Linked DNA regions of Neurospora crassa OR74A. The main gene of each other region encodes a partner of the protein of the gene in region 5 in a complex. Links are inferred from orthologs where the notes say so. Each region holds a gene or a part of one and is shown on either strand. Other genes may lie near its edges. The genes, in order: NCU17114, NCU08552, NCU06768, NCU02757, NCU07560, NCU06469 and NCU04336.

What was found.
Region 1: NCU07560 (region 5) and NCU17114 share a complex: the UniProt entries of both Schizosaccharomyces pombe proteins name them as parts of the mitochondrial large ribosomal subunit. The link is inferred for Neurospora crassa OR74A from reciprocal best matches to the Schizosaccharomyces pombe genes mrpl17 and mrpl39.
Region 2: NCU07560 (region 5) and NCU08552 share a complex: the UniProt entries of both Schizosaccharomyces pombe proteins name them as parts of the mitochondrial large ribosomal subunit. The link is inferred for Neurospora crassa OR74A from reciprocal best matches to the Schizosaccharomyces pombe genes mrpl17 and mrpl38.
Region 3: NCU07560 (region 5) and NCU06768 share a complex: the UniProt entries of both Schizosaccharomyces pombe proteins name them as parts of the mitochondrial large ribosomal subunit. The link is inferred for Neurospora crassa OR74A from reciprocal best matches to the Schizosaccharomyces pombe genes mrpl17 and mrpl16.
Region 4: NCU07560 (region 5) and NCU02757 share a complex: the UniProt entries of both Schizosaccharomyces pombe proteins name them as parts of the mitochondrial large ribosomal subunit. The link is inferred for Neurospora crassa OR74A from reciprocal best matches to the Schizosaccharomyces pombe genes mrpl17 and rml2.
Region 6: NCU07560 (region 5) and NCU06469 share a complex: the UniProt entries of both Schizosaccharomyces pombe proteins name them as parts of the mitochondrial large ribosomal subunit. The link is inferred for Neurospora crassa OR74A from reciprocal best matches to the Schizosaccharomyces pombe genes mrpl17 and mrpl12.
Region 7: NCU07560 (region 5) and NCU04336 share a complex: the UniProt entries of both Schizosaccharomyces pombe proteins name them as parts of the mitochondrial large ribosomal subunit. The link is inferred for Neurospora crassa OR74A from reciprocal best matches to the Schizosaccharomyces pombe genes mrpl17 and mrpl19.

What each region holds. Positions count from the first base shown.
Region 1 is NC_026506.1:2,292,221-2,296,078, forward strand, and holds NCU17114 (hypothetical protein), read left to right. Parts: upstream 1-1,674; 5' UTR 1,675-1,963; coding exon 1,964-1,976; intron 1,977-2,107; coding exon 2,108-2,224; intron 2,225-2,647; coding exon 2,648-2,697; 3' UTR 2,698-3,203; downstream 3,204-3,858. Other genes in the region: ala (alanine aminotransferase), read right to left, coding at 475-592; NCU03974 (hypothetical protein), read right to left, coding at 3,513-3,858. UniProt on the Schizosaccharomyces pombe protein: Component of the mitochondrial ribosome (mitoribosome), a dedicated translation machinery responsible for the synthesis of mitochondrial genome-encoded proteins, including at least some of the essential transmembrane subunits of the mitochondrial respiratory chain.
Region 2 is NC_026503.1:4,950,975-4,954,864, reverse strand, and holds NCU08552 (mitochondrial 54S ribosomal protein YmL38/YmL34), read left to right. Parts: upstream 1-1,322; 5' UTR 1,323-1,619; coding exon 1,620-1,634; intron 1,635-1,718; coding exon 1,719-1,803; intron 1,804-2,116; coding exon 2,117-2,412; 3' UTR 2,413-2,931; downstream 2,932-3,890. Other genes in the region: NCU08553 (DNA directed RNA polymerase II 15 kDa subunit), read right to left, coding at 3,282-3,326, 3,392-3,481. UniProt on the Schizosaccharomyces pombe protein: Component of the mitochondrial ribosome (mitoribosome), a dedicated translation machinery responsible for the synthesis of mitochondrial genome-encoded proteins, including at least some of the essential transmembrane subunits of the mitochondrial respiratory chain.
Region 3 is NC_026502.1:2,003,248-2,007,113, reverse strand, and holds NCU06768 (mitochondrial 54S ribosomal protein YmL47), read left to right. Parts: upstream 1-1,913; 5' UTR 1,914-2,149; coding exon 2,150-2,590; intron 2,591-2,674; coding exon 2,675-2,816; intron 2,817-2,885; coding exon 2,886-3,052; 3' UTR 3,053-3,187; downstream 3,188-3,866. Other genes in the region: NCU06767 (replication factor C subunit 1), read right to left, coding at 1-1,058, 1,122-1,163, 1,220-1,265, 1,328-1,433; NCU06769 (activator 1 38 kDa subunit), read left to right, coding at 3,601-3,687, 3,748-3,866. UniProt on the Schizosaccharomyces pombe protein: Component of the mitochondrial ribosome (mitoribosome), a dedicated translation machinery responsible for the synthesis of mitochondrial genome-encoded proteins, including at least some of the essential transmembrane subunits of the mitochondrial respiratory chain.
Region 4 is NC_026501.1:3,454,980-3,459,483, forward strand, and holds NCU02757 (mitochondrial 54S ribosomal protein RML2), read right to left. Parts: upstream 2,969-4,504; 5' UTR 2,585-2,968; coding exon 1,612-2,584; intron 1,550-1,611; coding exon 1,476-1,549; intron 1,412-1,475; coding exon 1,307-1,411; 3' UTR 938-1,306; downstream 1-937. Other genes in the region: NCU02758 (G2/mitotic-specific cyclin-B), read left to right, coding at 4,356-4,367, 4,464-4,504. UniProt on the Schizosaccharomyces pombe protein: Component of the mitochondrial ribosome (mitoribosome), a dedicated translation machinery responsible for the synthesis of mitochondrial genome-encoded proteins, including at least some of the essential transmembrane subunits of the mitochondrial respiratory chain.
Region 5 is NC_026503.1:4,356,747-4,361,374, reverse strand, and holds NCU07560 (50S ribosomal subunit L30), read right to left. Parts: upstream 3,350-4,628; 5' UTR 3,003-3,349; coding exon 2,966-3,002; intron 2,820-2,965; coding exon 2,047-2,819; intron 1,958-2,046; coding exon 1,661-1,957; 3' UTR 1,096-1,660; downstream 1-1,095. Other genes in the region: NCU07559 (hypothetical protein), read left to right, coding at 1-565; NCU16690 (hypothetical protein), read left to right, coding at 3,999-4,322. UniProt on the Schizosaccharomyces pombe protein: Component of the mitochondrial ribosome (mitoribosome), a dedicated translation machinery responsible for the synthesis of mitochondrial genome-encoded proteins, including at least some of the essential transmembrane subunits of the mitochondrial respiratory chain.
Region 6 is NC_026503.1:1,524,737-1,528,650, reverse strand, and holds NCU06469 (putative mitochondrial 54S ribosomal protein MNP1), read right to left. Parts: upstream 2,508-3,914; 5' UTR 2,290-2,507; coding exon 2,089-2,289; intron 1,822-2,088; coding exon 1,492-1,821; 3' UTR 958-1,491; downstream 1-957. Other genes in the region: NCU06470 (hypothetical protein), read left to right, coding at 1-748; NCU06468 (midasin), read left to right, coding at 3,093-3,914. UniProt on the Schizosaccharomyces pombe protein: Component of the mitochondrial ribosome (mitoribosome), a dedicated translation machinery responsible for the synthesis of mitochondrial genome-encoded proteins, including at least some of the essential transmembrane subunits of the mitochondrial respiratory chain.
Region 7 is NC_026504.1:3,732,878-3,736,572, reverse strand, and holds NCU04336 (mitochondrial 54S ribosomal protein YmL19), read right to left. Parts: upstream 1,881-3,695; 5' UTR 1,712-1,880; coding exon 1,571-1,711; intron 1,503-1,570; coding exon 1,167-1,502; 3' UTR 632-1,166; downstream 1-631. Other genes in the region: NCU04337 (survival factor 1), read left to right, coding at 3,080-3,102, 3,167-3,382, 3,465-3,695. UniProt on the Schizosaccharomyces pombe protein: Component of the mitochondrial ribosome (mitoribosome), a dedicated translation machinery responsible for the synthesis of mitochondrial genome-encoded proteins, including at least some of the essential transmembrane subunits of the mitochondrial respiratory chain.

The DNA.
Region 1 (3,858 bases), on a different chromosome or scaffold from region 5:
GGTAGATAGGGACTATGCACGCACTGCATGCCACGAGGCTCTCGGGAGTTGAAGATTTTGGCTGCAACTCTCTGTGTGTGGTGTGTGGTTGTGTTCGCGTGGCTTTGCCGAGATCGGGGATGGTGATTCCCGTTGTGGGGAGGAAGGGGAGACAGGGAAATGGGCAGGTGGCGGTCTGGGGATGGAGTCTCAGGATGTAACTTGGATCATGAACTCGAAGCGACAGCAAACACCTGACATTGGGGAATGGGAAAGTGAAGGCAGATGGACAGCTGCGGTTTAAGCAGGTGCCAAGACCGTTGCAACGGAGAGAGTTGCAAACGCGGGGAAAGAAAGTTGGGGAAGTTCGGGACAAGAGGAAGCAACGGTACGTTCGGGAAGGTGAAAGCGACGCAATAAAGCACATCGATCCGCGTCGGTCGGACGAGAAACTCGCGCCGCTTTGGCGAATGGCAAGGGTTTGGTGATCCTTACCTCCGCATGTCGCCGGACCCCACGCCGACTGCTGAACAGGGATTGAATAATTTCTCACGGCCGCGCTCGGCAGCCGGTGACGGGCGGTCTTGAGGGCGTTTGACAGTCCGGCAGCCATCGATGCGATTGTCGATCTCTTTCTGATGAAGTGTACGTATTGATGGATGAGGGGAGGAGGGTCTCGATACTGCCGGGTGGGGGGGGACAGGACTCCCGGAGATGCCGTCAAAGGTGAACGGGAGAAGAACTTGTCGTTGATGGTGCGCTGACTCGCTCCGAGAGTACCGAGAGGACGGGATGTGATTTAGGGCTGAGTCCAGTTTATGTCAGTTGGGTTGGGTTTTCAAACCGCATTCGACACAGCAGACGCAAAGACACTATGAATGGGGGGGGGGGGGGGGGGGGGGAAAGATAGCACGCAGAAGAACACACGAACTTTTTTTTTTTTTTCTTTTTTTCATCAAATGTAGCAACCCAAACTGAACTAATGAGCTCCGAAACAGGAGCACGGAAAGCGGTGTGGTCTAGAACTTTTTGTTACAAAAGAGTCTTCGTTCCGGTCCGGTTTTGCTCCCGCGATCCATTTCTGGCGGGGTCGCAGAGGTCCGAATCGAGACTACAGTCTTGGTACAGTATGGAGAGTCAATCAAACAAATGCCATATTCTGATTCGGACTGCTATCCGCCAGACGAGGCGGTATCGCTGAGCTGTTTCGTAGCCGCCAAGATAAGCTGCTGCTGTGCTGTGCTGCCTGACAAGCCAACGTTAAATCCGGGCCGTTGTATTCTACCTCTAGAGGTAGCTGCGGCATGTGTAGGACCAGTGGACTATATCTAGTATCCAGGAACTATCCTTTTCGTCGACTTACACAGTTCCCTTCCAGCGCCTTGTTGGCGGGACGGGCATGATTACAGCCACAGTGCTGTCAACGGTCACCATGTTGAAATTACGGTACACAAATATCAAATTTATGTTCTTGAATACATCTCTCTCAGTGTACAAGCCCAGCAAAGGTGTTGATGTTGTCAATAAATTTGTGTGAGATGTTCTGATAGATATCACGCCCGTTGTGTTTTGGCCAAGGCCTCTGGGGTTCCTCGGTGAGCTCTCAGCTCACTACACTCAGCTTGTTCCTCACCTTGCCTTCACCGATCCTACAAGTACACTAAACCGCGGGCAGCCACCTGCCAAGCCCAGCTAGGAGCGCACACGACCCACCCACAGCCCCACCACGGCCCACGCACCCCCGGCGGGCCGGCAGGCAAAATCTACAATCGCAATCGCAAGAAGCGCGGACGACCCGACGTCGATTGGAGAGCTTCCGGCGCAAAGACCGTGCTCCGTGAATCCGCCCGCCCTCCGCCCGCAGTTTGCGAACCTCTCCGTCCGGACGAGCCCCAGCCCGTCGCCCGTCGCCGTACCGCACTTGATCCAGTCCAGTCCAGGCGCGCCGTTGCACACCACAACAGCGCAACAAAAGTCGTTCAACATGGCGAAGAAGGGTAATCGACTCCATCCTCACCCGTGTGTCTGCAATTACTGCTTTGTTTTCCTAAAGGGAAAAGCGATGCAATGGGGAAACCGGAAACCGAAAACAGAAGACGATAGTTGCTGATAGGTAAACAACAAACAGCCAAGTCCCGCATCATTAACGTGCGCCTGATCTCAATGGCCATGACGGGTTATTTCTACACCTTCACCCGTCCCCGTACCTCGCTGCCTATGAGCATGCTGAAATACGATCCGATCGGTATGCGCATATCCTCTCCCCTCATTCCTATCTACCTCTTTCGCTTCCAACCACCTACATGATTGATTCGGCGGACACGACGACACGGGCATGATATGGAACTCTTTTTGGTTGCGGGCTTTCTCGATTTGCACGATTCGAAACACCCCAATACGCTTCGTCGAACGGACCTTGGGAAGCTCGCTTGGGACTGGGACTAGGACTGGGATCAGGCTGGGACGCAACAGTTCAAAGACTCGGACGATGGCATAACGTACGGACCTTCGAGAAAAGAAAAAAAAAAAAGCAACCAGCCAACCAACCGGCCAACAGAGAAGAGAGGAGGGGACGGAAGAAACACTTGCCTACGACAGACAATTTTTCCCAATCACGGATCTCGAAGAGGAAGGAATACCTACTAACCCTTTCGCCTCTCCACCATAGTTCGCCGCAAGGTCCTCTTCCTCGAACAGAAACGCAAGGGCAGGTCATAGATCGTTACTCGCCCCCGGGCCTAACGACCGTCGAACGACCGAGAGCCAGAGCGAGAACGCGGAGCCTGCGATACGGAATCAAAGAGCGTAGCGGCGAAGCAGCGACAAGTAAAAAGCTACAGCACCCCCTCCACGGATTACCACGTCACACCAAGTTACGATTTCGACCGGGTTGTGTTTCAAGCAGATCACCAGCAGACAATGGCCAGTGCTGGCGAGTGAGTTGGAGCTGGAGCTGGAGAGGGGGGTGGACCGGACCGGAACTGGACTGGATATATGGAGAAGAGAGGCGCAAGAATAAGATGGGGTCCCTCGTTCCATCCAGTCTCTGGTCGTGTATTATTACTGTACCACCGATCCATCAGTATATAACATCACCCTGTGAGTTATGGATTGGCACCATGGAGCGTTTGTTGCTTCTTCGCTCTACCGATGGGCCAGGTTGATTAGAGAATGTACAAGTCAAGAGATAAGCACAACGCCCCTCGGCCGTCGGCAATGCTGGGCGTGACCCAGGTTCACTGCCAAGTGGCTCTCCCTTCTCTTGTGTTGTGTGGTAAGGATAACTCTTCTATCGCGATCAGACAGTCTGTCATGACACCTCGACATCTTTGACTTTTCTTGCCATCGTACATCGCTTTATCTCATCTTTCTATATTTTCGTGGAAATCAAACTTTTCATTAGTCACAAGACCCGTCTCCCAACATTTTACAGGCGTTCTTTCACACTCTTCTCGTCGTATACATATTGAATCTCAATTCATTCGAAACACAGTCTCCAATCCACACAAATACGCCATGCATCGACATATGGATCATAACTTATTCCCAGGCGGAGGCAGAGGCAAGTCATCTCCGTCTTCTTTGTTTGCATTCTGCGAGAGGGTCATGGAGTCTTGGGTCTCATCATTGGCGCCCCCGTATCGCGAAAGTGGCTGGGACTGAGACCGTGATTGGGACTCGCCGTTCGTTTGACTGACCGAGTTGGTGTTTTCCGCAGGATCAACGGACCTTCTACTGCCATAAGTTCGAGTCGGTGCTGATCTGGGTGGCAAAAACCTGTTGGCACCGTTCATGACCTCGGGTAGGAGGCCAAATGAAGGCTTGAAGTTGATGGAAATCAATCCGTTTTCAGAAGGCTCAGAGCCTTCGCTCAACTTA
Region 2 (3,890 bases), about 590 kb from region 5:
TCAAGTGATGGTGGTGGTGGTAGTGGTGACAGCCAAGGTCACAAAGTATTGAAATTCAAGCTGAAGCTGCAGCTTTGATCGAAAGGGACAGACTTGTTGTTGTTGTGGGTGGTGGTTGACGGGAGGACAAGGACGTGGTCGCGAATGAGGTTGCAAAGAAGGGCGGGCGGGCGGCCGAACCCTTGAGAAAGCTGAAGAGCTGAGTGGGAATGACTGGGGATGGAGGTCAAGCTTGGGTGAGGGTCCTTTTGCGGTCCGAGTCTTGTTGGTGGTTGGTCGGACTCGGGGGGAAATGGAGTTGGAGTGGTCCGGCGAGGCGGGTTGCCGTCATATGTATTCTTGTACTTGTTGTCTGTCTATGAATTCCTGAACTCAAGTGTGAAAGTGCGAGGAAACTGCAAGGTGGTGCGGGCTTCTTGCTTTTGGCTGCAGGGATATGAGGCAATAGCCTTGTTTGAGGGCCTTGCTATTTTACCTGGAGCTGTAACAGGAAGAACAGCAACAAACCGTTTGGTGGCAGTGAAGCTGAGGTGAGAATAAGCTGAAGCTCAAGGTAAAACTGCTCAAATCGATTGGAGAACAGGGAAAAAGGGGACGAGCAGAAACAAAACAAAAGGGGGCCCGGCATTGCAAATCTTCGCCTCTTTACTCCTCTTTTCACGATCCCACCTGTTGCCGTGGTAGCGGTGGTCTAGCCAAATTCCGAAAGACACAATTGGAGAATCAGCCGACGGGGGAGCGGGGACTTGGGGGAGAGTGGGAGACACCATCCTGGCTGGAGCTTGGTTGCGCCGAGGTTGTCATTGGTGGTTTGGGTCAGGGCTGATGGAATGTTTCTAACCAGATGGGGATGTTGCTAGCAATGGACGACTTGAGTCTCAACGATCATCTGGGGTACGCTTTCAGAGATGGGTACTGTATGTATATCGCTGTCTAACTTGCCTCTGGAGTCGTCGGGTAGAGATACTATGACAAGCTGTTTGCAAGCTGACTTGAGATGGTACATGCCCGGGCTAGCTGTCTGATTGTGTCCAGAATGGCCGCACTCATTATCTTCCTTGACAAATACAGACGATTCAACAGTTCATTGTCCAATAATGACTTCTCATAAAATGTGCTCATTGTTAAACTCTTCTTAACATCAACTACGGTCATTGAGTCCTCACATGTTCTGTTGCTGATGCCTCAGACTCTCACACTTTCAGAGCTTCAACTACAGCTACTTCCCGAAAGCGTTAGTGTAGTCAAAAAAGCAGCTATGTAAAGAGCATGCATGAGACACCCCTCCCGACTGGCTCCACACTCTTCGTCCAAGTTTTGGCGCGTCCCCTTCTTCTCTCTTTTCTCGCGTTACTTAGGAGCCTGCTTACCTAATGCAGGGTACGTACCTCTAACCTGGCATCCCCGTCCCGCAAACAATTTTCGATGGGGTCCCCGCGTCCGGCGGGCACGACGGACAGCAGCCGGCCGGCCGGTCATCAATCAATCAATCAATCGATCGATACGCGGCGTCAACCGTGGAATCCCCATTCAGTTGCCGGGTTTCGGTCCTCTCGACAGCCAACTAACTTCAGCCACTACTCGCTCGGTAACAGGGACAGAGTAACCGGTTGCCCAAGATGATTCAACTAAAGGTTTGTTTTTTTTTCTTCTTCCCTTGCTGTCGAACGAAAGCAAAAAGAGTTTGGTTGCTAACGAACCATGCGAACTGCAAACAGACGATGCTCAACTGCATCGACAACTCGGGTGCTGCCCTGGTGGAATGCGCCATGGTTGTCGGCCAAAAGAGGCATGCTTCGATTGGTATGCTTTCGAATTCCCTTTCGATTTCCGTTATACACCCACGAACCCATCGTCGACTCGAGCATATCATATCTACACGAACTACCCGATCCCTCTTTCGTACCCCAACACCAACACCGTCGTCGCCGTTCATACCCGTCCCATCCCGTCCGATTCTTCTCGTCCGACCAAGGAACATCTGGTCTTATACACATATCATACTTGCCTCTTGCCCCTCTTGTTCCTCCCTCCCCCTTCTTTCCCCCCTCTTGTCCCCCTCCCCCTTCTTTCCCCCCTTCTTTCCCCTCCTCATACCTCAACTAACAGAAGAAAGGCGACCGCATAGTAGTAGTCGTCCAAAAACAGCGCGGCGCCGACTCGGCCGGCATGGCCGCCTCTTCGGCCGCCACCAAGGTGAAGCGCGGCGACATCCGCCACGCCGTGGTAGTGCGCACCAAGCAAAAAGTCCAGCGCCGCGACGGTTCGGTCGTCCGGTTCGACGACAACGCCTGTGTCTTGATCAACAAGGCCGGCGACCCGATCGGATCGCGCATCAATGGTGTGGTGGGCCAGGAACTGCGAAAGAAAAAGTGGAGCAAGATATTGAGTATGGCGCCTATGCAGGCTTAGCTAGGCTTGATTGATCGATCAGGGAGGATATATGTACGATGGATGTAGCGGGAGAATCAAGATGGAATGAAATATGAATACCCGTAAAGAAAAAGAGTTGAGTTTGTTGGGGTGGGATGTGGCGTGACGCTCCTTGAAGTGAAGAGGAGTATGCTCGGTGGGATGTGTCATTGCGGTGACTTGGTGACTCTCGTGGGGGGTTTGGGTGTCGGCTCAGCTTGGGTTGGCTGTGTTGAGGTAATGACTGACGATGAGCGCTACGGAACATCACTTTGTTGATATCTGACGGAACTGTGGTTTGTGTGTCTACGGATTTCCAGGATGGACTTGGGATGGCCTGGCGTATACGGGTTTGAGACTGCGACGTTGTTCTCAAGGTACGACGGCTTCACACACCGGACATCACACCAAAATATGGTCTCATCGAACGGCCTTTCTTCAAGCGCCATTTTGGGTAACGATCAGCCAGCAGCAGCCGTCACATCAGTCGATTAGGTTTACCAGTCACTTCAGTTCGGGACATCAAGCGTGCCGTCCTAATCTGTGTATACTACTGTACATTACATGTCATGTCAAGCAAAACAACATCACCATTGCATATCACACGAAACAGTTTATAACGTTATCCACGAGATTCATGGAAAGACCATTTCTAAACCAGTGTCCTGCCAAAGCATGAAAAAGAAAACCAAACGCCCTAAACCGCGGTCCTTTTGAGTTAACCGTGTACAAACGCCACTGTAATGCAACTCATCATGACCCCCTGATCTTTATTAATCAACCTGTGATTTTTTCCGACCGCCCGCCTGTCCGCCTATAACAAGGATCGATCTGGCCCTATTCCTTCCGAGTGAAGAGTGAATCCCCCACTACTGGTAAATATTACCACAATCGCAGCAGACGTAGAAAAGTTTCTGAAAGTAACGTTGTTAACCCATGACTCTGGTGAGCCCCTCCCAGGCAGGTGAGTGAGTCTTACCATTCCGGTTTCCGAAGTACGCTGCTGTGACTGGAAGAAGACAGCTTCCGGGTGGTGGCAGGCAGGGCATTCCTTGATGGCTCTTGGGAGCTAGATAGCAAACGAAAGAAGAAAAAGAAGAGATTAGTCTCGATGCAAGCCAGAGCAAATGACAAGAACAAGCCAAATCCAGGTCATCGCCTCGCGGACCAGACCCCGCCACCAGACGGACGGAGACTTTTGGGTATGCGCTGTGCTATGCTATGCCGTGCTGTGTGCCAGTCGTGTCGTGTGTCGGGTGCTGTAATCCCGAAGGTGGGCGAACAACCGCGCCGCCATGATTATAGATGTATTATAATCCTGATGTAATGGGTATGCCGTAACCGTAATCGCTGTGACCGTAAAATCAAAAAGTCGTAACCTCGTGAGAGCGGGAGATGCGTCGTCTGCCGGTCATGTCCTAAGCTGCCGGGACTTGAACAGGCAGTTGGCTTGATGCCGCCAACTCCGTGTCGGTGTC
Region 3 (3,866 bases), on a different chromosome or scaffold from region 5:
CACCACCGGCGGGCATCGTCCTGATGAGGTAAAACAAGCCCTCCTCATCAATGGTCTTGATCCCATGCTCTTTGATCTTCCTCAGCTTGCTGGGTCCTGCATCGTCGCCGAGAACGACGAAATCGGTTTTGCTGGATGGCGCTCCTGTGACCTTGCCACCATAGCGCTTGACGAGTGCTTGGGCTTCCTCACGCGCGATAGTCTTGAGCAGGCCGGTGAACACAAAGGTCTTACCCGCCAGACAATCAATTTCACCTTCAGGAATGTCGGCAGTGCCCGCCATGGGGGGTGGACCCGCATTGCCAGCTCCGGCGGCCTTGGTCTTCCAGTCAAACTTGACGTTGGGGTCTTTGGGAGGAGCATCTGGTGCTTCAATTGTGGGAATATTGTCGAGGATCTTCTTGACGTCCTCGGGTTCTTCAACCGCCGCATCCTTCTTTGCCCTTGGCGCACGGGGCTTAGCGGGGGCTCCCTTCTTCTTCGCTGGCTTGACTTCTTCTTCCTCTTCGTCTTCCTCGTCACTTATAACAACCGAGGATTTCCGCTTCCCTGCCGTAGTAGTTGTAGATTTCTTGTTCGGCTTGCTGGGTCCAGGCTTGACGTCTTCGTCGTCAGACTCGGCTACGGCTGCTGTTTTGGCGCGAGATGCCATTCGCTTGGGCTTGGGGAGGAGCTCCTCGTCACTGTCCTCCTCGGCATAGTCGTCGTCCTTTTTCCTCTTGCTGCCACCCTTGAATTCCGCCGCAAATATGTCCTCTCCAGCATCGTGCTCATCATCCATGTAGGCATCGCCATCGTCATCCTTGTCGTAACTCTTGTAGGCCGTCGTGGGTTTCTTCGTAGTCGAGGTCTTCTTTGTAGTAGTCTTGGGAGGCTCTGGTGCTTTGGCAGCGGGGGTGGCTTTCTTCCGCGGGCTTGTTCGAAGCGCTACTTTTGGTTCTTCTGGCTCGGGTTTTGCGGGTGTCTTTTTCGGTGTTGACTGGGACGCAGCAGCAGTTTTTGTTTTTGAGGTTGCAAAGTACTTGGCAGCATCGGTTTCAACTCCTTTTACGGGTTCCCTAGATAGTCTGTCAGCAGGAATAGGATGACATGGAACTGAGAGGTGTTTCATAAACACTTACGCTACTTTCTTCTTTGGCGCAGCCTTGGTTGGCTTTTTGACTCTACACATGCTGGTTAGATGCTAGTTCTGAGAAGAGATGCTTTTCACTAAGCTTACTCAACAACCTCGTCATCTTCGCTGTCCTCAACAACCTTTCTTGGCCCTGCGACAAGATTGTTAATATAACGTGATAAGCTTGTGATGGCGATCATGGTTCAAGCTTACTACCCCGGGTCTTCTTCTCCTCTTCCTTCTTGGGTGCTGGTGTTGCCGGCTTAGCAGGCGGCGCGCCACCTTTTGGACCAAAAAACGAGCGAATGTCGGCAGGCATGATGGAGTATGTGAGAAGAAATCACTGGATACAAAATGATAAATTGAATGTGTCAAAAGGTTGGGAAGATGTAACAATCAGATGACACCAGCAAGCATCTTCTTATAGTGGCGGAGTTGGGAAGTAGGGACTTTTGTTCTTGGTGTCTGAGTTGTCCAGGCAGCTGTCCTTCTGCCTAACAAGTGTTGTTGAACAAAAGGCCTAGAAGGGTAAAGAGCTAACGGGTCGACTCTTGTCCCTTGTAAAGACGGAAGTAACAATTGAATGATGAGTGAGACGCGAAGGTGAAGTGGATGACGCGAGTCTGTGTCCGGGCTCTGCTCCCCTGTCGCGACTGGTGGGGCCTTGTCCTACAAGAATTCGCCAACTTGCTGCCTTGAGCTACGCCCACGCAGCTGTATTTCTTGTGAGGAGTCAATGAATGAGTCCCAGGTCCCGCTTGTCTGCTGTGTCCGGCAGATTCCATGTCGCGGCCGGCACCCGACACTTTTTGGTGGGTCACAATTTTTGGAAGTGCCGTCCGTGCCCCGTCCGCGCCCGCAGCACCTTCCATTGCAGGTAGTCGCTCTGCCCGGTCCCCGTCTCTGTGCGCGCGCTGCTTCGGGGAATCCGTATCAATCGTCGTCGGCGACCGGCATCCAATTGGACCCTCCCTCCGTCCTCCGTCCACCACTCGTCCCCTCCCCGGTCCGGTCCACACCCAAACCTTCAACACAATGAAGCACAACGCTTCCTCGGCGCTCCTCAGCGCCTTCCAGGGCCTTAGGATATCCTCGTCGGCGACTCCCTTCCGTGCCGCGTCGCTCGCAACCTCTGCCGTCCGTCGCCCCATTGCGCCGACCCCCGTTTCCGTCGCCTCCCATGTCCGCCTATTCTCTGCGACCGCCATCCAGGCTGGTTCGTGGCTCGAGCCCAACCTCAACAGAAAGAAGAAGATGATGAAGGGAAGGCCCAGAGTGCCGACGGGTGGTTCGACCAAAGGAACAACAGTGGTTTGGGGAGATTACGGCCTGCGCATGCGCGATCACCACCGCAGAATTAGCGCCCAACAGCTCAAGCTCGCCGAGGACACCATCAAGCAGAGGTTGCGTGGTCAGAAGTACCGCCTGTACAAGCGCGTTGCTTGTAACGTCGGTGTGTACGTCAGCGGTAACGAGGTGAGCAGCTGAACAACCCACAGCCCGGGAAGGCCGGATGCCGACTGTTAGCGGACATGAGGCTCACATGCATTTCCGGTGTAGATGCGTATGGGTAAGGGTAAGGGTTCGTTCGACCACTGGGCGACCAGAGTTGCCGTCAACCAGATTATCTTCGAGATCAGGGGGCAATTGCACGAACAGGTCATCCGTGATGCCTTCCGTTTGGCCGGACACAAGCTTCCAGGTAATAACAGCACATGCTGGCCCAAAATCTTTGCGAGGTTGAGAAGAGTAGAAAACTGACAAGTCATAGGTCTGTACGAGTTTGTGAAGAAGGGTGACCCACCAGTGGTTGGCATCACCAAGTTGGAGGATGGCCTCACGGTGGAGGACCTCAAGAACCCAAGGAAGAAGTTGTTGATGCCAGAGATTACCCAGAGTGCTGCGAGCACATCAAGCACTGCTGCTCCTCCTTCGTAGAGGTGGAGAACCCTGAGCCTATTCTAATTGTAACACTATGTAGAACAACAGAAGGGCCAATGTGCAAAAGAGTGTTGCCATGGCCATTTCATGATTATTATGACGACGTAACAAGCATCACCACTTTGATTTCAATGCTCTGAGAATGTGTCCGTAAGCTACTACCAGTTTACCTGGATGGGCCAGAGCACCACATCGAGTCAACAAGCAATGCTGGCTTCCTAGATATACCCTTTCAACCATGCCATGAAATGGGCCCTATACTAGATGTCGGTTCATGGAAGATCCAATATCCAGCATCGGACGTTGCAAAACTCAAAGAGATTCAAGATAGCTGCCTAGAATACTGATGGCGAAAGTGGGCAACTGTCTACCCCAGGGCCTGTATAAGCGGGTGATATGGTCCGTGCGGCCATCCCCCGTCATCTGTTAATTGATTTTCTGGACGGCGCGTCAACTCGACGCGTCTCCCATGCACCTCCAATCCAGCATTTCTTTCCCCTTCCGTTGTCAACCCATTTTCCTCTCCACAATATCACCACACCACGATGGCGCTTATTGTTGACAAGCACAGGCCGAGGTCTCTCGATGCCCTCACCTATCATACCGAATTGTCGGAGAGGTTACGGTCACTTGTAAGTAGACCCTCTTGTTCCCCTCGTGCAAAAGAAGCTCCCCGCTGATGACACTCCTAGGCGCAAAGCGGTGACTTTCCCCACCTCCTCGTCTACGGTCCTTCCGGCGCAGGAAAGAAGACGCGAATTGTTGCTACCCTCAAGGAGTTGTACGGCCCAGGTGTAGAGAAGATCAAGAT
Region 4 (4,504 bases), on a different chromosome or scaffold from region 5:
CCCCTAGCCAAGTGGAACCCCAGTCCCGCGTACCTCTAACGCTACCCGACATGGATGAGGTATGTATGGGGGCAACCATAGGTACCTACCTACTCCCCAGCTTTTCCATGTTAGTGCATCTTAACTCATTTAGTGTAGGGTGAGAAGCACCGCAGAGAAGTACGATGTACCCTAGGTACCTAGGTATATATTTATTGTGCCGACCTGTCGGGGTCGTGAGGTACCAGACATGGTGGCGCACTCAGTTTTCCTTACTAGTTAATGTACAACTACCGATTCCATCGATCCCATTCAATCTCCAGAAGTACAAAGGGGACTGCCCTGAACGAGCGAAACGTTGTGAAATAGTATGTACACTAAAAGAATGGCGTAAACCTTAAACTCTGCCCAAACCACCGAAGAGACGCTTCAAATAGTGTACTCATCACCCCCGTTGATCTTGTGGTATACCTCTATGGAGATGAGACTATGCTTGCCTTTTGTCGACCCTCGTTCCTTCATGGCGTTGTATGTATGGCCGAATTGCGGGCGCATACCGAGACGCTGTCGTGATATGCCCTTACACAGTCAACCACTGTAAAGATACCACCGCTGGAATGCATATAAATCTCGCTGCGCTCAGGTCTACCCACGCGGCTATTTACGCCCCTATTTTTTTTTTTTTTTCAGGATGGCGTTCACAGAACCGGTAGCAGATCTGAAAGGGCGAAGGGGGACGGCATTGTTATTCTGCTCCTTGCAGAAGAGATGAACGCAAAATGTGATTGGACAACTCGACCGACTCCAATGACCAAACGCCTTCAGTTTCTTTCATTGTAGTCTGTTGTCTATAATCAACGCAAAAAAAAAAAAAAAAAAAAAAAAAAAAAAAAAAAAAAAAAAAAAAAAAAGGGAAAAAAAAATTTTTTAATTTTTTTAGGAAAATTAAACAAATTTTATAAGTAAATAAATCAATAAAAAATTTGTTAAGTTGGGGTCGGTATATGACAACGGAGTCTAACAAACCCCATGTGTAGTCTTTGGTACATTCCTGAAGTCGTATGCCGATTTATAGGCACAGTCACGGCCTTGGCCGGGCCCTGAACCACATCGCCGTAGAGTTGCTCAGTTGAAAGTGGAAAACAAAGACAAACACGGCAGATCTCCAACAGACGATGTTATTGGGCCCAATACCCACACATGGCATCCTTCCGGTGATATACTGAGCCCTCGAACTGCCGGCCTGCGAGCAAATGAATAAGTTTCACTACATATTGTACAAGATGGTGGGTATATAGCCCAAGTTGAGCACAGTGGGTTATTTTATTCATGTAGTCTTCTTGTTCCTCCGGACTCCCATGTTGCGGACCCGGGGGGTAACCACCCACTTGTTGACGTTGGACTTTCTGCGAGTCTTGTAACCACCTTTGGCCTACAGAAAAAGAGGGTAAGGCGTCTGTTCAGAGGAAGGAAGGAAATAAAGGGGCATGACTTACAGGTGTACCCCAAGGAGAAACAGGGTGCCTATTACCCTTCGACTTACCACGACCACCACCGTGAGGATGGTCATCTACCAGGCCGTTAGTTGGTTTTGCTCGCTTGACAAACGGATTGTTCTGGGAGTCTACTCACTTGCGTTCATCGCCAAACCTCTCACAGTAGGCCTAATGTTGAGCCAACGGCTTCTACCGGCCTTGCCCAGTTGTCTGTAGTGATGCATAATGTTGCTGGCAATACCAACGGTGGCGCAAGCGTCCTTGCTGACCCTTCTGATTTCTCCGCTCTGCAGTCTTACGTTGACGAACTTGCCCGTCATAACCTTTGTACCATCCTCACGGGTCTCCTCCTCTTTGGAAATAATGGTTGCATATGTTCCGGCACTGCGGCAGAAAACAGCCTTGCCATCCGGACGGGAGCCAACGCAATAGATCTGGGTTCCAACCGGAATCATGGACACAGGCAAGCAGTTGCCTCTCCAGCATGTCCTCGCAGCCAGAATACCAGGATCAACGACACCACCCATAGAATCGAGCAGGTCCTGGGGAAGACCGGACCGGTAGCTCTGCACAACGTCTCCAGCCCTCATACCATCCGCCGCAACAATATAGCTCTTCCTCCCTGTGGCCTCTTCCTTCACCAGCGCAATGTGCGCGCTGCGACCGGGATCGTACTCAATGCGCAGGACTGTGTGCGGACCGGGGATCCATCGTTCAAAGTCGACCATGCGGATTCTTCGCTTGTGACCACCACCGCGATGTCTGACGGTGACGCGACCACTGTGATTACGGCCACCCTTAGATTGACCCTTCTTGGGAAAGGTAAGAGGAAGATACGGCCGGCCCTTCCACAGGTGGTCGTTGATCGGGCGCTTCAAGTGACGGATACCGGGCGTGTGCGGCTTGTAGGTTCTCATCATGCCGGCGTCCCGGACGTAGGGAGTGACGATCTTGGCTTTGGCATCTTTGCTGGTGTTGCTGGTGCTGGTGCTGCTTGCTGATTGTGTGGCGGCCTTGGTGGCATAGCATCTGGCGACGGTGCGGCCCAGCACGGTTTGGGCAAAGGAAGCTGTCCCCGCAAGGAGGGGTCGGAATTGAGGCTGCAGCATGGCTGCTCGATCGCTGTCGGATATCCCAAGCTCCTGGCGGTGAGCTCTGGGGAGGTGAGGGTGCTGGAGGGGACAGTTGCTGCGATTTCCAGCAACCGGAATGCGACGTCCTCGCAGGCTGCTCGTCGAGGTTCTCGTCGCCGGCTTGTCGTCGATAACTGCTTGTGGAAAATTGCTCGGCTGATGCGCCAATCACAGCCGTGCATTGGTTTGCGATCCCTGACGATTGTGGCTGCTAATAGTGTGGCTTGTGTGGTGCAGCCACTGCCCTTTGGTGAAGAGCCTTGTTTCTTTCCAGGGGACAAGTGCTGCAAACAGCGCTCCAAAACGCGGGCGCGGGAGGAAGGCACCAAGTCATCACCGCGTGAAGGTGCAGTGCGGCGCGGGGAAAGAGCGTGCATCGTGCTCCATTCCTGCCCGCCCAAGGTTCCAGTCGCGTCTGACCCAGGATAGGTAAGGTACCTTAGTGTTGACAGCTGCTGGACACGCGCAGCCTGTTGGACAGTTTAAACCAATCAGAAGCTGATTTGACCGAATTGCCCTGCGGTTGCCAGTGTTGCCCTGACGGCGGGCGGATGACAGCAAGGGAGGGACGTGGCCTGTGGTGGCCTTGCCGCCTTCAGTTCCTTCACTGCGTGTTTGAGGTGCGACCCTTCTTTGTCCCTTCTGCTTGCAGTGCTCCATAACAGCGCCCGGCCCAAGTACAATTTCCTGGCCGCTTTCTCGACTCCGGATTCTGCAACTCGACACTCACCATCCGACTAACAACCATTTCCCTGGACGCACGACAATCGACTTTCAGCTACAGCAACAACAGCAACTTTCGACTCCGGCCATTGAAGCCTGCATTTCTTCGGCAGTACAACCTTTTCGACTTGCTTATTCGACAACGGCATCCTCATCATTCGACAACTTAGCAAGGCAGGGAACAGCAAGACGTGCGTCTGACAGAAGCCCATATTGCACGGCGCGTCATCACTTGTTGTGGTAATTTTGTTCCCTTTCCGGTGTCTTGGACTTCAAAGCTTCAAAGCCTCGCTGCACTAGTGACCTCGAAGGGCACTAGAGGTACTTTGCCCCAGTCCCAGCACGTCCGATCCGGTACCTGGGTGGGTGTCCACACGCCCGCTCCGTCCACTGGCACTCCAGCCCCATCCACTGGGCTGCACTGGCACTGGCACCTCCACCAAGACCTCGCAAAAACAAGACTCCCATTCTTCTCTGCCTCGTAAACATCATACCTCCCTTTCCCGTCCGCCAACTAGCATTCCCACTCCGCATCACCTGGACTCGCAAGGCCTTGCCATCACGACGGCAACCCTTGGCCTCGATCAGTCAATCTTTCCGGACGTCGCCATTGCGTGCTTTGCCCCGACCGTCGTCACCAATTGGGCAACATTCCCGATCAACAACAGCACATCCTTCACGGTCTCAGCCAACCTTCTGTTGCGGGACCCAGGGTTGATCTCCGGCTTCAACAACGTGCCGACAGCGACATCACTGCCGACCGCCGGTGTTCATTCTTCCCGACATCTTTGGGCTCTGTAGTCGGTGCGTCTAGTCTCATTGACTGTCCGTGTTCACAATTCCCTCGTCGTTCGCTCGTCGTTCGCGTCAACCCTCCCTCCGTGACAGGGATCGGTCTTTCAATAAGAACCAGTCTCTCCACCTCGAACTTCGCCAAAAACGAAACATCCAAATAGCTAGCTGACCTCCCCGTCAGTAGACACATTTCACATCAATTTCTGTGCCAGCATAGGTTTAGGCGAGAATGCCGAATCTTGTAAGTTTTACTGCACAGTTGGCATTGTCGTTCAATCATGCAATTGGTTGTCCACAGCCATGCTATGTTTGTACTAACTCAACCCCAACCCTGCAGCGGACGAGGAACCCGCGTTCACTCGCGAACGAAAATGACGA
Region 5 (4,628 bases):
CTCGTTCCACGGGCACAAGCCTTCAATTGAGTTCATCTCTGCCGCAGAGGAAGAGGGAGGACCCGGGGTCACACCAGTACGAGGATTCGAATACCAGAACAAGATGGCTGAAGAACACGGTCTTTACGGCTGGTATTCCAACCTCGCATTCCTCAAGGTTGCAGCTAAGAAGCTGCAGAAGGAGCAGTGGCTGAGCAAGACTCGGCCCGAGAAGACGTGCGGGAGCATGAGAATGAAGACGGTAAAACCAAGCAAGCTTTTCTTCACGCTCAATCCCTTTGCGCCCAACAGCATTATCAGTCGTCGGTCAAGTATTTGTTCTTCTGTCGCTTCTGGTATGACTGGAAGCATGGTTGACACCCCGCCCAGTGTTTTCGGTGACGGCAGTGATGAGGAGGAGGAGGAGGAGGAAGAGAAGCAGGAGGCACCTGAGGTTCATCGTCTCCCCCCGTGGGAGGCAGTTTTCTGGGAAAAGTTTGGAAACAAATTGGTCCTTGACCACGGTGAAGTTTTGGCGCTCACCACTTCGATTCCGCTCAGAAAGTCCCGGATTCGGAATCTCTAGGATGATCATCGGGACCTCCTGTATGAGCTCCTTTTTGTGTGGGCTTTGGGCACGATTTGTGTGTTATTCAGATTGCTTTTCAGATGGGTGGAGATTTGAGACTTGACTTGTGTGTGGTGTGGTAATGCCAACAAGTAATTTGTTAATGATGTACGAGGAATGGAGGAGTACACCACTGGTACGCGCGCGAGAAGTGTCCCAGCTAGAGGTGTAAGCCAACGGCCTTATATGGATGATCAAGGAGGATGTCCTGATGGAGGCGTAGGAGACGTGTGAAGATATCCTACAGGCCGCCGTGGTGTGGACTTTCAACCAGCTCAAAAGTACCGTTGCTTTGGTCTGCGGCTGGCACAAGCTTTGACTGTGTGTCTCAAGCCGGGAGAACCGGTGTTCATCATTGATCAAGGCTGGATCTTGAAGAGGTCACTGCCATACCTATCCACGTCTCTAATGCAGAATCGGGTCACAGATATGTGATTAGCTCAGTCTGTCTTGTTTGTGTATGTTAGTATCAGACTTCACCTCAGATAGCGGTATGACCAACCCAGCGGATGTCTGGTAGTATTCACCAACCATCTCGCATCCTGTATGACATCTTCATCCCAAATCTCTATACACAGCATATGTTTTTACATTACAAACAACACCCTCTCTCGTCCCTGTGCTTCATGTCAGCCTTCGCCCGCTTCTTGCAGACATGGCATGCGAGCTTGGCTTCGGCCTGGTCAAGTACGCTGAGGCGTGCGAGGCCTTTGAACTGTCAAGTCAAGTTCCAAACCATCTCTGATTCTCTTCCTCGAGACCTTTGATTGTGTTCGGCTAGGGGGCGGTCCAGGTCTACTCAGCGCATAAACAACAATTGTACCTTGCCACCGACCGACTAAAACCATCTTTTGATATCAATACATTTGTACACATGCTTCTCTCTTCTTCTTCTTCCGCCACCCACTGCACTTCCCCATTCTATTTCCCCGGAAGATAATGGTGTAGTCTCACCGACTTCGACCATCGACTCATCATCACCTCTCCAACCTTGTTCTTCCATACTTCACTTCACCAGACCAGGCTACATAGGGTGTTGTTGTGTTGTGTTGTTCACCTCTCAGCAAACATGCCCTTGACGCTGTGGAAGTACTCCTCCGCCAACGTGCTGCGCAGCTCCTCCTGCGTGAGCCACTTGAAGTCGACCAGATCATGCAGGTTGTCGGTCAGGTCGGCCTGGCCGGCCATGATGCGGCCCTTGAGGAAGAAGATCTTCTCGCCCTTCTTGAGCAGGGCGCCGTCCTTCTGGCCGAAGACGGGGCGGACGACGTGGTGGGCTACGGGCACGCGGCCGACGATCCACGTGTTCATGTTGACGCCTGCGGACTCGGCGAGGATGCGGGCTGCGGTCTGTTTATCGTCATCATCAAAGGTTAGTTGGCCGCGAGTTTTGGAAAATGGTTGGAAGTTGGGTTGGGGAAAAAGGGAATATAACGAACCTCATGCAACCCCTCATCCGTAGGCACCACGCCCGTAGGGAACATCCACTTGGCCTCCTCGCCTTCCTTGTCCGCCTTCTTTTTGACTACCAGATAAAGCGTCTTGTCCAGCGCGCGATCCAACCGCTTGACATCCCCTTTCTCATCCGCCTCCGTCCGTCTCGGCATCGGCTTCTCGACGGGGACCCGGTCCTCGGCGGGGATCTCCTCGCCATCCTCCGACACGCGCATCTCCGCGTCGGCAAGCAATTTCTCCACCATGTGCTTTCTCGACGACGTCTGCGACCCCACCAGCACCTCGTCGTTCCACGCCATCCGGCCGCGCGGGTTGTACCGACCAATGTCCTTGGCGGGCACGCCGTGGCGCTCCTTCAGCTTGATGCGCCAGTCCAGGTCGGCGGCCGTGTCCTTCTTGAAGTAAAAGTCCTTGCGGAAGGGGGCCGTCAGCCGCTCGTTGAGGCGCTTCTGGTAAAAGTAAAAGGATTCTTCAAAGGGGGTGAGGTCGCGCGTCAGCAGCGGGGGGCGGGTCAGGATCACGCCCGACTTGATGCGGTAGATTTGCGACGAGGTCGAGGTGGCGGCGTGGGTGCCTGTTGATGTGGTGACGGGCGGGTGAGGAGGGGGTAGTGTTGTTGTGGTCGTGGCAGTGGCAGTGGCAGTGGCAGTGGCAGAGGCCTCGGCGGAGTAGAAACGTCTAGGTGCGCTGGTGACGCCGGCGGGCGCAAGTACTCGGGTTTGGTTGCGGCATTGTAGGCAGATGGACCGTTGTTGGCCTGGAAGGAAGAGAAAGAACAGATTGCGACGGGTTAGTTATGGTGTCTTTAAGCTTAAAGTTTGCGATCGGAAGCCATGCATGGAAAACACCAATTCGTAACGAGTTGACGATACGAAAAGAAGATAAAGAAAAAGTGGTCCATACTCCTAAGGAGAGCAGCTCCCCTACTCGACGCCGACATGATGGGCAGTATATATGACTTGGTTGTTGAACGGGGCCCGGGTGTGTAGACAACGGGACACGGGACGGGGAGAGGGAGGGAGGACGGGTGAATCTTGCGCGCGCGCCAATCCTCAACGCAACTCTCTCTCTCTCTCTCGCAAGTCTCGGGGTGGATGCGGGACGGGGTCGGTCGGTCGGTCGCTGCGGCGGGCGGGCGGGCGGGCAGGCAGGCAGGGCAGAGCGGACGGACGGGCGACACACAGCGCGGGAAACCGGCCGTGAACTTTTTCGATGTCCGCAGCCCCACTCTTTCCCTGGGGCCCTCCCGCCTGCCGCGCTGCCGCCGCGCACCGATCAGTCAGGTCCCCTCCCTGCTCGTTTCGTTCCTGGTCGCGATTGAACAATTGAGTCTTGGCAACCGATTTACTTTCCTTCACCGCCTTCCCTTTTCGAAAGCTTCCCTTTTTCTTCTCCAAAACCAATCCCCCCCGCTACCTACCCCACCATAACTTTCACGTCCTCAGTTAGGTTCACGGCTCCTACGACCCCACATGACCACTCACCTGACCGAAGCGGGTCCAGCAAACTTTTGAACTGAACTGCTGCAATAAAACTGCCACCAATCCCCCCTCCCCTTCTCTTCTTCCTTCTTCTTCTTCTTTTTTTTCTTTCTTCAAGGCACCATTCCTTATCATCACGACGTTTCTCTTCCTCCAAAACTGTCCTGATCATTTAGTCCGTGCCGAGAGGAACCACCATGAGCAGACGAATTCGCTAGCGGTACCTGCCTATAAACGCTCTACCGGGTTGCTGTTAGATAGAATCTGCTTACATATTTTTCTCCTGCGAACTCTCGTGACGGTTTTGCATTGTATGTATGTAATAATACTGCAGACTGTCTTGTGTGTGTGTGTGTGTGTTTGCTCTTTCTGAGAAATGAGCTTGGCCCAGTCAGTCTGGTCAGTCAGTCTCCTTCTCCATGGCATGTACACTACGTGTGAGGAGACTTCGCTAGATGAAAGTCAAGATGGGGCTGGTTTCTTTGAAAGTGTTATTCTTGCCACTTCGTGAAATGCTTCCCCGTCTCGAATTTCTCAAGCCTCGTTTTTGTGGCACGCGTCTTGTCTGGCTGCTTGGTGTCCTGTCGATTCATTCCTTGACTTTGGATATGAACCTTCCTGAGATCATTCATGGATCGTTCTCCATCCCCGACACTTGCTTGTCGTCACTCCGGTCAATGTCGCGATCAAGCACGGCCACATCTACTGAAGTCTCAGCTACGCCGCAATGCACATACTGCCCAGCTCAGAATATTCATTTCCACCATCCATGTCGCTGATCACGATATACATATGCGTGCTTCATCTCATAGAATTATCAGACCTGCCTCCTTGCTAGCGTTCGGACAAGCTTTCCAAATCTTTACTAGGCTACGTATCAGAATGGATGGACAAGTTAGTGGAATATCAAAAAAAGATGAACAAGAATAGAATGAGCAGTCATCACGTTATCAACCGACTTGTTCAGCACACCTTGCGCAATGCCGGAAACAGTGGACTACACTACATAGTCCAAGTTCCTTAACGATGACCAAAATGCAACAAAAAAAAAAAAAAAAAAGTCATGTCTGTTCATTGAAAAGATC
Region 6 (3,914 bases), about 2.8 Mb from region 5:
CATCCTAACCGACATCTTTGAAGTCCTCCGCGAACGCGGCGAATCCTACGTTTCCTCCCAAGGGGACCTCGTCCTCTCCCCTTCTGCCAACAACAACAACAACCTTTCAGCAGCAGCATCGGGATACGATACCAACATGCCCCCCTCGCAAACCGCCATCCACTCTTCCTCCTACCCTCCTCCTTTTCCTCCATCTTCTTCCACAGCAGCAGCAGGTACCCTCCCCACCAGCACCAACGCCACCAATGCCGCCGGCGGACCTTCCTCTAGCAACCAACAGCATAGCAATTTGAGCAAACGCGGCGGAGGCGTCAACACTGCCGCCCCTCGTCTCGACAAGAAACAAGTTGAGCAACGTATCGAGGAGGATCGTGAGCGGCATAAGAGGCTGAGGGAGAACATCTGGGCGGTGCCGAGCGGAGACGAGCTGGATAGATTGCTGGAGGAGACGTCAGAGTTGGGGGATGACGACATGAGGGCGATATGGGAAGAGCAGGAGGAGTGGGAGAGGAGTTTGCAGGCGGGGATTGGAGGGATTGGAGGGAGTGGTGGTGCGGGGTGTGGGCATACTACCTCTACCAGTAACGGGGGTGAGAGGGATGATGGTATGAATGGGAATAACATGAAGGAAAAGCCAATGTCGATTAGTGGGGAGATTGCCGAGATGGCGAGGAGGAAGCAGCTGCAGCAGCTGGAAAAGGAGCAACAGGAGAAGCAAGATAAAGATGTGGAGATGACTTCGGGTTAGGAAACCGACGGAGGAGAAGAGAACCTGGGAATTCAAGACCAGTAGGAATGACACGGGTGGTGGATACAAGAGGCGCGCTGGTAGGAGTGCGATAGAAAGAAGAAAATTGAAGGAGGCAAGGAGAAGGAGGTTGAGAATAAGAAACAAGGAAGTTACCGATACATGGGGTATGCATGGGATGGCGTTTATGTTTTTGGCTGTTTAGTTATCTTCGGTATCCATAAGCGAAAGTGGGGAGATACTATTAACTCAGAAGCGGCATCTGCTCACGGTAATATCGTCGACAGACTCTCATGTTTTCGCTGACAACCCGTTCTTCTATCCATCCCAGTTCTCGTAGTATGATATAATGTTACATGTTTCATTGCTTTTTGTACACGTACAAGTGGTATATGTTGTTGTGAGGAATCTGTGTCCGCCACTCCCCCCCTTTCCCCATGAGGATATAATGTAGATGAGACCGAGAATCCCCCTTTATGTGTTTCCCAAGGCCCTGGCATTTCTTCCAACTCTGTCCCGTCATGATCATCATTATAGGAAAAAAAAAAGAAAATATCTTTCCGGCATCTGTGTCAGGAAAAGATCTCCTCGTTTGGTTCTTTTTCTGCGGGGGAGGGACGTGACCATCCTACAAAACAACAACACACATACACACACACACACACGGCGCCTCCACCCACCACACCACCACACAGAGACCATAACCATAGCAACCAACCCTTTTACTAGGCAGAAGCAGCAGTTTAGTCCATGGTGACGGTGGCGCCGAGCTCCTTCATGGCGGCGACAATCTTCTCGGCATCCTCCTTTGGTACCGACTCCTTCATGACCTTGGGCGCGCTCTCGACGAACTTCTTGGACTCTACTAGGGAGAGGCCGAGCAGGTTCTTGACCTCCTTGATGACCTTGGGCTTGGCGGCGGCGTCGAACTTCTCGAGCTTGAGCGTGAACAGCGTCTTCTCGGCAGCGGCAGGGGCGGCCTCCTCCTCCTCAGCGGGAGCGGCGGCGGGGGCAGCGGCGGGGGCGGCAGCGGCGAAACCACCGACGGGGAGATCGGGGATGTTGAGGCGGGACTGTTTTGTGTAAAAGAAGAGAGAGAGAGAGAGAGTGAGTGTTAGTGTTGGTGCCCATGTACATGTGTGCGACTTGAGAGTCTAGGTAGTATAAGATAGGTCTGTCTGTCTGTCTGTCTGTCCGGGGCCGGGCCGGGTCGGGTCGGGTCGGGTCCGGGGCGCAAAAACATCCGGAAACCTTGAAACATGCTCCGATTCGGGTTTTGTGTGTCCCGGTTCCCGGCCCCGGTTGTTCTTCTTCTCGTGCTTTATTTAAATCGGGCGTACCTTGAGGCTGGACACAAGCTCCGAGGTCTCGAGGAGAGTCAGGGTGCTGATCTGGTCAACAATGGCGGCGATCTTGGGGTTGGCGGCAGGGGCGGCGGTGGACTCGAAGCGCTTCTGGACGAGGAGGGAGCTCGAGGCCCGGGTGGATGCGCGGAGCTGGCGGGCGGCGCATTGCGCGGCGAAGCGAACCGAGAGAGACATTGTTGGTATGTGTGTGTGTTGGTGGTGGTGGGTTGTGTGGATGGATGGATGGAGAGAGGGGAGTCGGACTCGGACCGGAGGAAGGAAAGAGAGAGGGCGCGCGGGGGCGGTCGGATTGGGGTTCTCTTTTTTTGGTGAGGGAGGCTTGCCGTCGACGTCGACTTCGAGGATCGTACAACCGAACCGTACAACAACTAAACGGAGATATTTTTTTGGGGACGTTGTCGCGCGCTCCCGGGTGCTGCGAAATCTGGGACCCACTACTGGCAGTTGGCAGCTTGGTGGTTTGGGCGTGCAAGTTGGATCTATGACGGCTGGCTGACCCGGAGCTGCAGCTGGAGGGGAAAACCCAAGCTGCCTGCCCCGCGCGAGTCTGGGGATTAGGTACCTCTGTACCTTGAAGTCCACTGAAGACGCGCTAAAGGATGGGCCCCTGTCATCCCAAGCGCGCCCCTGCTGCCGCTGGGCTGTTCGTCCCACCCGGAACTAGGTTCCACTTTTGAAGAAGATGGCTCCCTTGCCTGCCGCAGCCGACTTACACTACACTATGTAGAGTACTATGCAGTACACCCCAGCACATGCGCCTAGCGCTAAGTAGCATGTACCCCGCACTATCGTTCAGCGCGATAAGGAATTTCATGTGGGAAAAAGTTCCAAACGGGAGAAAGCGAAGTTCAATGGGCAAAAAAGTTAGAGATAAAAAAAAAAAAGAGACTAAGAAAAACATCACCGTTTTTCACAACGACGACGACGACGACGACGACGACATCCACGCCAACCCGTCCCGTCGCTTTTCCCTGGCCATGATGGCCGTGATCGATGTGAGCCAGCAGAGGGCGTCGCTCCTTAGCGATGCGACCACCTTGGACCTCTTGCCGCCAGAGTTGCTGCTCATAATCCAGGATCACCAATCGACCAAATTCCTCGATGCGATCGCCAGCGCCGCTCTTGTCTCGACAGCCACCGACCGCATCTTTACCCATTTCGAGTCTGTTTTTGCCGATATTTGCGCCAGATGGATTCTGTCTTCTCCAAAACTCGATACGCGAGTCCTTGCCGCTTTCGCAAGGATCTTGCCCTTCGCCCCGTCGCTGTCCGTCTTCCTCGTGTCGCATCTTCGAGGAGGATCTTTTGGTGGTGTTAATGGTGGTAACCACAACGACAAAAGCAACGACAATGATGCTTCTTCAAAACTTAAACCTCTCGATTCCCTTGACCTAGCTTCGATCCGCCCAGATGACCTCCCAATTGTCCTCCTAGCCCTCTGGAGGCTCAACAACTTTGACAAGCGCACCTACGCCGGCCTGTCAAAGCCATCCCAAATACAGACCCTGTTCGCACACGAGAACCCCATCGTCCGATATCTTGCCGTCCGAATCTTCTGCCAGCTTCATAATGCCGCCGATGTCAAGATCGAAGCCCTCCTCGAAAAGCACATACCCAAAGATACCAGCCTTGTCGCAGAGCTCGACGGGCGCGAAGCCGACTATGCGTTCCTCAGCCTACACGAGGATTCTAGACGTGAAGACATTCAGAGCTCTCGCAGTAAATCCCAACAAACTAGTGCGGTTGACGATGCGGTTGTCGAATTGAATATCACAAACATCCCAGAACAGAACCTCACT
Region 7 (3,695 bases), on a different chromosome or scaffold from region 5:
ACATCTCTGTTTCCGCCGCCCCGTGTTGTTCCTCAAACACTGGGCAGTTCACCCAATGACTCGAGTGAACACCTCAGCCGGTTGTGCCTTGCGTCCTTGGCTGTCATCCTCGTTGCCCTGCGTTTCAACTGAACAACAGAGAGTCAAGTATGAATCCCGCAGCAGCCCCGACCACCGTCAAAGCGGCCTTTTAGAGCGCCGCCGTGTCCGAAAGACCGAGGCACCGCAAAGGCATGGATGACAAGTCTAGGTGGTGTTGGTGGTCAGCTTTGTCTCCAGTGACTGTCCTGATGTCACCCAACCTTTTTTTTCGATGGACTGCCAACGGATATGGTAAACAGCTTTCTATGTCGATCTCTACCGCCGAAAACCAGGTCCTTATCGCTCGGTTCGGTGTAACCCATGTCGATACCCCGCCATGCTGCGGGAGGTAATTGCCCGAATGGTTCTAGAAGCCATTGAATGTAATTGCAATCGTTGCACACGTGTAGGATATTAAACAATCATCCATTTCATCTCGTTAGTATTGAAAGCATGAGATGAACACCATGGCGACATGATACCGGGGCTTCGCCTGAGTGGTAAGAAGTGGGCTGGTGGATAAGCACTTGGGCGAAGCGGATGTTTGTTTACAAAACCCCTTTTTATATATGTGTGTGATTTGTCTTGCAGTCAGCTTAGCCAAAAGCATTATAAACACATCTCACCTACATTCAGGTAAGCATAATACCCGTTGGGCGGTCTACCTTGGTGACCGCCAACCTTAAAACTTAATCCTACAGAGACAGATCCTCGTCATACGCCTGCGTGTTCCACAAACACAAGCTATGTGAGCCAAGGTTGACGAAGCTGGAGTACGTTGAGGCAATGCAAACGCAAACCGGCAAATGCCCATATATGCCATGCCTGCCATCAGCACCCTTTTGTGGAAGCCTTTCCCAAACGATCATACTCCGTGGACCAACCAACAGCTCCAGGCACCGCTGTGCATTTTGAGATTTTGCCATACAATAATGATACAAGCAAAGATACACAGAGCCACAAGCTATGGCTATAGTCCGCATCCAATATTGGTAACAATGCCGTGGTCTATCCACCTAAAAGAAACAACCGTAACGCCTTCGTGCCCCCAAGCCCGTATAATGTCTTTCAGCGTATAGCCTCTTTCAGGGGATAACGTTGATACCGATCGACCTGGCCTGGTAGATGACCGCCCTGCAGAGGCCCTCGAGGGGCAGGCCGGATAGACGGAGCTCGGACTGCTTGATCTTGGCAATCTCGTAGACATGTTTGAGGCTGACGGTGCCGACAACCTCCTTGCCGGGGTTGCTGGCGCCCTTTCTCTTGCCGCCCTTGCCTATCGGGGCCTCGGCGGCGTTGAGCAGAAGCCATGATGTGTGAGGGGTGCGGACATCGAAGTGGAACGAGCGGTCGGGCCTGACGGTAACACGGACGGGCATAGGGGTACCGGTGTTGATATGGGCGGTTCTGGCGTTGAACTCCTATACAGATTTGAGCGCATGTCAGCTTGTGTTGTGGATATTATATGGGTGGGCGCATGCAAACCGACCTTGCAAAAGTCCATGGACTTGATGCCCTTGGAACCAAGGGCCGGACCGACCGGGGGACTCGGGCTGGCCTGACCGGCGCCGACAATGAGCTTCACCACCTGCTCAACACCACCAGCACCACCTTTTGCGGCCTTGGACATTCTGGCGACTCTACTGCAGATACCCTCGAGGGAAATTAAGTTGGGAGGAGAACGGAACGGTAATTCGGCGCGTCTGCAGTCGCGTGTTACACTTTCGAGGTCGGTCGGGTATCCTCGTTCGCGACGGCGGCAGCAACGGCGGCGGCGACGCCGCGCGCGGCACCTCAAGCTGGGCCCAAAAAAAAATCAGGGCGCCGGGCCGGCAACCGTTGCAGCCAGGGTCACGTCAGCCACTTCTTCAAAGCCTCAGCCACACACTATTTAGTGTAAAGTGCCGCAATCAGTCCCTTATCGCCGCTTTTCAGTGCCGTTAGTGGCTTACAGTAGTACTAGTACAGCATCGACGCCGAGCCCGCCCGTCAACTGAAAGTCCCGGCCTCGCTCGTCCCCAATTGCTCTCCTACCCGTACTACGCCCCCACTTTTTTGGACCTCGTAGAACTCGCACCCCCTAAAGTGGGTGCTCACGGGTACTACGGCCACACCAGTAAAACGGCCAGGTCAGGGTTAGAGGTGCAGTTTTGAGGCTCGATTCGTAGGGTAAAGCACAACTTCCCAACATATAGAAATTTCTGAAAAATGAAAAGCTGAACGGATACATTACTCTGTCCTGACTATCTTCTAACTCTTTCTTTATTCTCAATTAGTTGTTGAAATACGTTGTGGGCGTTCACTATTTTGGTATCGTTTATCTGATTCGCACCTCTAACCCTGGTGGCCGTTTTAGTGGTGTGGCCGTGTTATTCGTAAGCACCCACTTAGGTGGGTGCGAATTTGCGAGTCCCAAAAAAGTGGGGGCGTAGTACGGGTACCGGGCGTGACTTGGATTGATCATTCCCGTCATTGCCTGCCGCCTGCCCTGCCGCAAAGGTGCGTTCGAGCTGCTGCAAGTCTGCAAGGGAACACAGCATTGCGAAACCTGAACGCTCCAAGTGATTGCAGACCCGCTGTAGGAACCTGAAAGGGTCCAATCGATCGTCAAGTCCTCAGGTGATGTGGAGAGTTGGGCGGAACAGTGACGTGCACCTTCAAGAGCCAGTGAGTCTTCTTTGCTGCTCGACTGCCACGCATCGAGGGCCACGGCTAGAGGCAGTCGGCCGCGGGGAAGCCCAAAGGTACGTACTTGTAGGAGATTTGGGACAGACTGGGTTGCCCCTTCTGTTTTCCATTGGCTTTTATCTGAGCGCGGCGCCATCTCAGCTCTGCCCCATCTTTCTCGACGGCGGTGAATGACTTTAATCTTGAACATCAAACTACCTGGAAAATTCTCACAACTAGACTCATTTTCGCCTCGTTGTCTTGACTTTTTGCTTCTGTAATCTATACTCTTCCCATTTCGCCCTATACCCCCCCCCCCCAGTCTTTCATCATGTTCAAGTGGGCGCAAGCGGCGTGAGTACTCCAAGCACCACCCCCACCATCCGCTGGACGCAGACCTCTAACGACTCGCTTGTAGGTTGGCCAATGTCGCCGGCACCAAGGAGCCTATCTACGGCCCCGAGGCTATCAGGTCTGTCGCCGAGGAGGCCAAGACAACTCCCTATACCGAAACCACCAAGGATGACCTGAAGTGGCAGGCCATGGAGTCCACTTGCGTCGAGACGCAGTGCTTCTACTTCATGACGGACAGCGGCCAGCTCGCCTTTGCCCAGGTCATCTACTCTAACGTTGCGTAAGATTCCCCATTGCACGATTCGCCGTCAATGTGGCGCGCTCGCAAACTTGGGCCTTGTATTGACCTGATGGCACAACAGTGGCATCCGCACGACTTGCCAGTTTAACTGCAAGGTCTTCTCCCTGGATGGATCCAAGCCCCACCTCTGGTGCTCTACGCCCCTCAACAACCACGAGTTCAGCGAGGACAAGACCAGCTTCTACGCCACCGATTGCGCCGTCGAGCTTTCGGAAGATGGAAACTCGTACACTATCAAGTCGTTGAACGATGAAAGGTCGATTGTCAACGTGACCATCAAGAGGACAGCGCC